Linked DNA regions of Tribolium castaneum. The protein of the gene in region 2 binds, or shares a complex with, the protein of the main gene of each other region. Links are inferred from orthologs where the notes say so. Each region holds a gene or a part of one and is shown on either strand. Other genes may lie near its edges.

Region 1 (4,268 bases), on a different chromosome or scaffold from region 2:
CCCAAGAATGGTGTTCCTTTTTTTGATGACTGTTAGTTGTTTTTTTATTTTGGTTAAAGTTTTCATGTTATAATAAAATTGTTACGTAAGATAAATTTTTGTGTCCCGTCCGTAATCTCACTACTTTTTATATACAGGGTGCTCAAAAACTGGCGCACCAACTCAGTGGTACGTTATTGAGAAGCAAGTGCAGATTACGGGAAAAATGTTGAATAAATTTCTAAAGTTATATTTTAAAAAATCTGGAGCTACAAACTTATTGTGTTAACTTCTTTAGTTTTCATTATTTTTTTATATTTCTATGTTTCATACCAGGTTATCGTTCCGTAACAATACAATGAATAATTATTTTAAAATTTACTATCAGATTTTAGCAGTTTTTTTAATTAAAAAAAATTAAAACTCATCCAAAAAATCACAATGTGTAGATGTGCCAACACTGGGAATTATTTCCTAGGAAACCGTTTCAAAAATAATTTATTTTTATTGTTGCTCAAATTCTATTGCAATCATGACTGTTAGACAACGTTGCCACATATCATTTACCTAAAATTAGTTATTTATCAATAACAGTAATACAAAGATTTTTTTTACTATTTTTACCTTTATATGTAACCAGTTCTCTACCACACACCACTGAGTTGGTGCGCCAGTTTTTGAGCACGCTGTATTTGGTATACACTCCCTCAGTATTACCTGAATCCGTAAAAAAATCATTCATAATATTTCTATTATGAGTAAATATTTTTGTTCTTTCGAAAATATTCACAGATTTTTATACTTATTTTAAACTCAATTTTTATTAGGCGAATACGCGTCCAGTCGGTAATCAATTACTTATAACGATTTTCATTTCAATTAATTTCATCACTTTAAATATTACTATCTTTTTGAAAAAGATAGGCCATTTGAAAATAGAAGTTGACAGAAATATGATTAGTAGATTGTGGAGGTAGTTCCTGGTTAATTTAGTTCATTACATGTTTTTTTTTTTGTTAACTAAATGACTGATTAACGATTTTACTTATTTATGCAACAAAATTCTGTACCTAGGTTTAATTTAAACATTGTTTTTAGGAAAATGCTTGAGGTACCGTCTATTTATTACGATTTATCACTGATTTTCTTATATTTTTAAAAGCATATTTTATTTTTCAAAAGAGAGACGAACAGTTGAATAGTTTTCCCGTTGAGATCTCAATTTATTTATCTTATCATGAGTTTTTAAGGACAACAAATAATCTACTTTGAAGATTCTCACGATTTTTTTGGGCCTAATTAAGACTTTGTATTCAAATTTTCGTTGGTAAATACTCAAAGTTAATTCTTTAGTAAATTGTGAAGACAGTTCTGTTAATTCAGTTGATTATAACATAATTTTTTTTGTTTATGCAATTTACTTGGTTAAGCGTTTTACTTATTTATAGAACAAAAATTCGTTTAATAAGCAAATTTTATGATTTATTTCAAGAAGTCTCAAGCCTCGAGAAAAAATATTATTGGAAATGTATTTGTCTATTATTGACTTTGGTATACTCCTAATTCAAAAAAATGTAGGAAAAAGCTGTTTTATTTATTTTGAAATCGATTACCTTTAAATGAAATGAAATTTAGAATTTCGTCGAAACTGTATAGTATTAGAAAAGATATGACCTTGTAAGCACCTTATTCAAAGTTTATTTTTTGTCGTTAAATCTATTTTTATTTTATTTATTTATTTTTATTTATTTTAATATTATTCATCGCATTATTAAAGTCCAAAACCAAAAGTCGTATTTATTATTATTTTAAACCAATTTTTTTCGCCCATGCTGCGTAAATAAATATTTAAGCAAAAACTTTACAATCAATAGACATCAAAGAATCATAGATATTGAGCGATTTCTTTGTAATTAGGTCGCTTCTGACGTGTCCTTTTGCTAAAGACATAATAAAACCCATTTATGTTCATTTTTCCCTGCTACTGCTTCCAACAGTCGCAATGGAGCATTACAAAAGGCAACTCCTGAGCAAAAAAGAAGAGCTCAAAGAGAAAATCTCTGAAGAACTCAAAGACAAAAGTGAACACGTTAGGGAGAAAATCAAGGACGTCCAAGACATTGGCACAGAAGGTAAAATAATTGATCACGTAAAGGAAAAAATTAAGGATGTCCAGGAGAGTGAAACTGGGGGTAAAATACTAGACCAAGTGAAAGACAAAATCGAGGCGGAAGGTAAAATAGTCATGGATTTACTCACGGGATCACTGTCGACTAGCGCTGACACTTCTGACTCTTCTGGCCAGGGGCGTTTCTCGAAATAATCTTCGGTTAGTTTTGGCCACGAAGTTTCATACAAAGTTTGCAACTCAAAGATTAAACCCTCATTCACGCAATTGCGGAAATAGATTAGGAAGTTTTTGACTATTTCCGGCATCTTTAGGTGCTGTTTATTGTACTCGTTGTCCAAGTTGGGGTCTCCTGTGTGAGCCCCATACTCATCATAGCTGTTGTATTCATAACCCTGAAATAAATGAAAATCAGTGTCCAATTTATTGTCAATTTTGCTGCCACGAATTATGGGAATGGTGCATGCTAAACATGTAGGTCGGTATTATTTCCACACTTTTACAAATAGGCTTGAGACACATGGTTCAATTTGCAAAGCTTTTACTAGAGTTTTATAGAACCCAGTGTAGGTTTAAGGATAAATTGTTCAAGTTTTAGGTGTTTGAAGCACTCACTTGCTCATAATCGTCGGAAAACATTTTGAATTTACTCATTATATGCCTACGCCACTATAGCGAGCAAATGGTCTTGCACTTAACCTCGAAGCCAGTTGACGTTTGACAATTACAAATTACAGGTTTCTACTCGAGGTGGTGCAAGAAATTCCATTTTTTTCTCATTTTCAAAAGTATTTCCGCTGAGTAAGTGAGAAAAATGTTTTAAAATAAAACGATCAATAAACATGATGTTAATCTAAATGCAAATTTACTGAGCCGGTGATTTAACCTCATTCCCCAATTGCTCGTTCGAACAAACCTTGAACTATGAAATCACAAATTTCTTAAATAAAACACAATGATCGGTAGTCAATCTCAGTGAGTGATTAGTGTTCGTAACCGTATGAATAGATATTAAGTAATAAAATGTTTGCCCAAGGATTTACAAGTGGTAATCCCCTGCTTTGTGATGGTACAAATATTATTCTTCATTTTGCAGTTTTACGTAGCTTCCTCAGTTCAGAACCCGCCCCAACCAAAGTGATTGACGCCAAATCAGACGCTTTTTCCGACCGAGCGATTCACCTACGGGAAGATGGATTGGTCCTCTACCTCCCAGCTAATACAGTTGACAAGAAAAAAGGGGCCACTTACGAAATTGTGCTCCATCGCCCGTACACGGAAAGCCTACACCAAACCTACAGGTTTGTGCCCCCGAACACGTCAACTGTTAAAAAAATCAATTTTTAGTTTATACCGCTCGCCAAATCTTGACGAAGCTGAAGTGAAATTTTGTGTCTTGAAGGATAAGTTACCCACGTTTGTTGAGATTTCGAAAGAAGTAATTTGCTGTAGTTGTTAAAAGACGATTATTTGGAATTTTATTTCAGATGTATAATGTGCAAGGTTTGCAAAAGATTTGTGACGTTCTTGCGGAACACCCCTCTTGGAACTTGGCCCATTTGGCGGCGTATTTTAGTCTCTATGATTCTTTTAAAGACTCTAAGATTAACAATTATTTGAATAGTACTGATGATGAAACTGGGATCTCGCCACTACAAGTTGCTATTACCACGAAGAATTTGAAGACGGTGCAAGTTTTGGTTGCTGCGAATGCGTCTTTGGAACATCTCGATTACAACTCTGATTCGGTGTTCCATTACGCCGCTAGCACCACCAAAGATATCATTGCCGTAAGTATTGAATTGTGCAAAATTAGATACGGAAAAGTTGTACATAAGGAATTCTAAAGATTTTTTTCTGACGATTTTAAATACCTTTTTTTAGTTTAACATTTGTAAAGGCCTTGGTCATTTCCATTGAGCATTGTTTCGTTTGTGTTATGTGGAAAATATCAAATATTACACTAGAGTATAGAAAAATTCCATTGAACTAGTAAATAATAAAAAACGAGAACACATTTATAAAGTTCATAGGTCAAACGTTGACATTTTATTTACGAGATGTTTATTTCTATTAAAACCTACTAGAGACAAACAAAGTTATCAGTTTACCTAATAAGTAATCACTAGTTTTAGGGAACCTAATTTTATCAATGAATGGA
Region 2 (3,528 bases):
CAAGTTTGAATTTTCGGAGCGACAGTGCTGCCACGCCACTAACTAGAACACCAAAAGATTGTCACTAAATATTTTAAATCCGTATTAAATGACTAAAGTCATGTTAAATGTGTCCCAAGACAGTTTTTGTTTGTTGTGTAATTAATTTTAGTGGAATTTCGAGTAATTACAAAGGCGGGATTCTAATCAAGTGTGTGTGGCATGGTGGCAGCCCTGAGTCTAAAGACGCTTGCTTTTTATGACAAAAAAGTTAACATGGTGTTTGTGTTTAGTTTTAAAAAGTGTTTAAAATCGGGAAAAGTCTAATGAATCAGTGTTTACATAGTGTCATCGTGGAGGTAAGCACCAATTTTGCCATTTTTACAACAAATATTGTGATGAAACTCGGACAGGAATACCAACAACGGTACTTAAATATTCAACATTAAAATAGATTATGGTCTCAAAAAGTTTATAGAAGCGGGGTCCACTTGTTCTATAATAAATTTCAGCATAAATGTGTAATAATTACACGTCAGAACGGCGTAGACGGGATTTAAATTGCGTGCGTGTGGCAACTCTGTGTCTAAGACACTTGATTCTTTTTTAAATAAAACGCAATCATTTTTTTGAAAAATTATATTGATATTAACAATAATTGCATCAAATCCATTGAATACAACTTGTATGCAAATCCATACAATAATCGCCTTAAAATACAACTTCTATATCAGTAGCAACAAAAACCAGCAACTCATTAATTAATAATGACTCGTTACATTAGTATAGAAAAACACAAAACGGTGAAAAAAAAGTAAAAATTATTAACCATATTGCATGATCATTACACTACACCTTTTTAAAAATACCGTATAATTTAACAATATTTATATTTATCGAAGATATTTATTTAAAAATTAAAACCCTATCTAAACCGCTGCAATCTGCTACATAAAGTCGTCGTAATCGTCATAGTCGTTAACATACGCTGACAAAGGCTGCAAAAAAAATTAACCCAAACACTTGTAAAACCACAACTTACATTTCCATCATCCAGTCGTAATTTAGCCTTGCCTTTGCCTTTGTTTTTCTTCGATTTCTCGCCTTTCTCGATTTTTTGTTTCTCTAGGTATAAATTATCTAACGTATTTTTAATTTTCTTAATATCTAATGAGGACACTGCAAGAACATTCATCATTAACGCTGTTTTAAATTAAAACGAGAGACGTACAAGTGGCACACAGATTTCGTAGTAAGTTTTCGGTGAACACCGGATACTCTGTGCTTTTAGCTAGAGGTTGGAGCTTCTTAGAGAGAGCGTCTGTAAAGTCCTGAAACTCTTCTTTAGTAGTTGGCAGCGTGAGTCCGTCTAAACCTGAAATGTTTGTGCTATTGGTGTCGCCCCCAAACGTCGTTTCTAGCGCTATTTTCAAGTCCGATTCCTTCTGCATCCTGAGCTTCTCCTCCGGGGAGATTTCCTCCTCCTGTTGCTCCCTCAGCCTCCGCTCCATTTCTTCCTTCCTCTTTCTCTGAATAAGGAGAAATTAGATTTGTCACAACTATTGCGATACCCACTTCTTTCTCTGCGATTTTGTCAGCGATTGACTGCTTCTTGGGCTTGGGTTTGGCCTCCTCGGCAGGCGCCGCTTCCACCTTCTCCTCCTCCTCATCCTCCCAGCTTTCCTGCAGGAAAATGGTAAATTTTTGGCAGGAATTCACTCATTTTACCTTGACGTTGTCGTCTTCGTCCTCGCCTTCCCATTTGTTGGACGCAACCACAGGTGTAACAGATGGAGGTTCGAAGTTATCGTCGTCTGAAACAGCCCCATGTCAAATTTTCGCTCAAGTAGTGAAAGAATTGACTAAATTTTTACCCCACGATTCCATATTGGCGAAAATACGGCCGAAATTAGCACAAAACGACCTCAACCTCGAAATTCACGTGTGCTGAATAACGTGCAACTGCACCAGAAACCGCCAGATGACACTGTCAAAGTGTCACCAAACCAAACACTATCTTTTCTCGAAGCTTCCACAAGTACACCGATTTGTAGATGTATCAAACAATACGTTTCGGCTTTTTATGTCTCTTGCAAGATGAAAAGTCAGCGAAATCAGGCGAAGTTGAACAATTCACGAGCGAAAATAGCCCTCGAACACCCATCTCACCCTTGACAGAAACCAACTACGCCTGCCAACCGGCACACAATTAAGGCACCAAATTACAACCAAAGTGCAAGTTTTACAGGCTATTTAACGCCAAAGATTTTAAATAATTTGAAATTATCCTTTTGGGACAGTCATAAAAAGTTTTAATTAGGACGATTGGCCATAAATTGCTTTTTCACCGCGTTTTTCATCATTGAACAATAGTTGGCGACACTTGCTGTCATTTGACTTGTCAATGTGCGTCGTTTTACGTTTTTTAAACTCGTTGGAAAATGTTAAAATAGTGCGTGAAAATGGTCGTGGGTAACACTAAGGTGGTCCAGGTGACCAACATAGCCCCCCAGGCCACCAAGGACCAGATGCAGACGCTGTTCGGCTACTTGGGTAAAATCGAAGACATTCGCCTGTACCCCACGATTCGAGACGTCTCCTGTCCTGTCCAGTCCCGGATTTGTTACGTTAAATTCGTGGATTCCAGCACGGTAGGTGTAGCCCAACACATGACAAACACTGTTTTCATCGACCGGGCCCTAATTGTCATCCCTGTGATCAACGGGGACATCCCCGACGAGTACTACGCTCTGGAGATGACCCGTAACGGGACCATTGTCCCCGGGTTTAACGTAAACGAGCCAAAGTTGCCCCCACATGTCTCCAATTCGTTCCAAGGCACAGGCGAGGAACGCGTTGTTGTCACAAATGACCCCCATTTGACTGACAATGGCTGCGCCCCCTATCCCCCTTTGCCGGCCAAATACGACTCGATCAAAGTCGAGGAGACTCGTCGAACGGTCCAAGTGGTCAATATTGACCCCGCCATACCCACAGATGAGATAATCCAGTATTTTTCACAAGCCGGTGAAGTGAAGTATTTGAGAGTGTGTGAGTGCCCCAACGACAACACCACGCACATTTTGATCGAATTCACGGAACAGCCAAGCGTCGTGAACGCCATGAAAATGAACGGTGAAGAGTTCAAAGGCAAGCCGCTGGAAATCATTCACGCCACTCAACCAATCATGAAGCCCCAAGCCAAAAGTAACGAAGCCGCTCAGAAGGAAATTGAAGAAGCAATGTCTCGCTTTAAAGAGGCTCAAAACATGATCAATGCCTCGATTGAGCCAGTTATCGGAATGCTAACTAAAGATAAAAGGAGCTCGCGACGTTCCCGCTCAAGATCTAGAGGGCGTAGACGCCGCTCACGCTCAAGGTCACTCTCGCGTGGTTCACGTTCACGTCGTCGCCGTTCAACGTCACGTTCACGCCGTTCACGATCACGTGACCGGCGTAAACGCTCGAAGTCTCGCTCTCGGAAACGTTCGGTTTCACGTACGAGGCGTTCAAGGTCGCGCGAACGCCGGTCAAGGTCGAAATCGAAGG

The links.
Region 1: eIF3j (region 2) and eIF3l share a complex: the UniProt entries of both Drosophila melanogaster proteins name them as parts of the eukaryotic translation initiation factor 3 (eIF-3) complex. The link is inferred for Tribolium castaneum from reciprocal best matches to the Drosophila melanogaster genes eIF3j and eIF3l.

What each region holds. Positions count from the first base shown.
Region 1 is NC_087394.1:32,526,555-32,530,822, forward strand, and holds the start of eIF3l (eukaryotic translation initiation factor 3 subunit L), read right to left. Parts: upstream 2,846-4,268; 5' UTR 2,762-2,845; coding exon 2,723-2,761; intron 2,586-2,722; coding exon of another isoform or gene 2,558-2,585; exon of another isoform or gene 2,503-2,557; coding exon 2,239-2,502; intron 2,112-2,238; coding exon of another isoform or gene 1,982-2,111; exon of another isoform or gene 1,727-1,981; intron 1-1,726. Other genes in the region: iPLA2-VIA (85/88 kDa calcium-independent phospholipase A2), read left to right, coding at 1,982-2,111, 3,204-3,408, 3,455-3,545, 3,595-3,897. UniProt on the Drosophila melanogaster protein: Component of the eukaryotic translation initiation factor 3 (eIF-3) complex, which is involved in protein synthesis of a specialized repertoire of mRNAs and, together with other initiation factors, stimulates binding of mRNA and methionyl-tRNAi to the 40S ribosome.
Region 2 is NC_087396.1:21,286,918-21,290,445, forward strand, and holds eIF3j (eukaryotic translation initiation factor 3 subunit J), read right to left. Parts: upstream 2,182-3,528; 5' UTR 1,867-2,181; coding exon 1,854-1,866; intron 1,794-1,853; coding exon 1,708-1,793; intron 1,663-1,707; coding exon 1,555-1,662; intron 1,509-1,554; coding exon 1,211-1,508; intron 1,159-1,210; coding exon 1,022-1,158; intron 978-1,021; coding exon 927-977; 3' UTR 683-926; downstream 1-682. Other genes in the region: Srp54 (probable splicing factor, arginine/serine-rich 7), read left to right, coding at 2,442-3,528. UniProt on the Drosophila melanogaster protein: Component of the eukaryotic translation initiation factor 3 (eIF-3) complex, which is involved in protein synthesis of a specialized repertoire of mRNAs and, together with other initiation factors, stimulates binding of mRNA and methionyl-tRNAi to the 40S ribosome.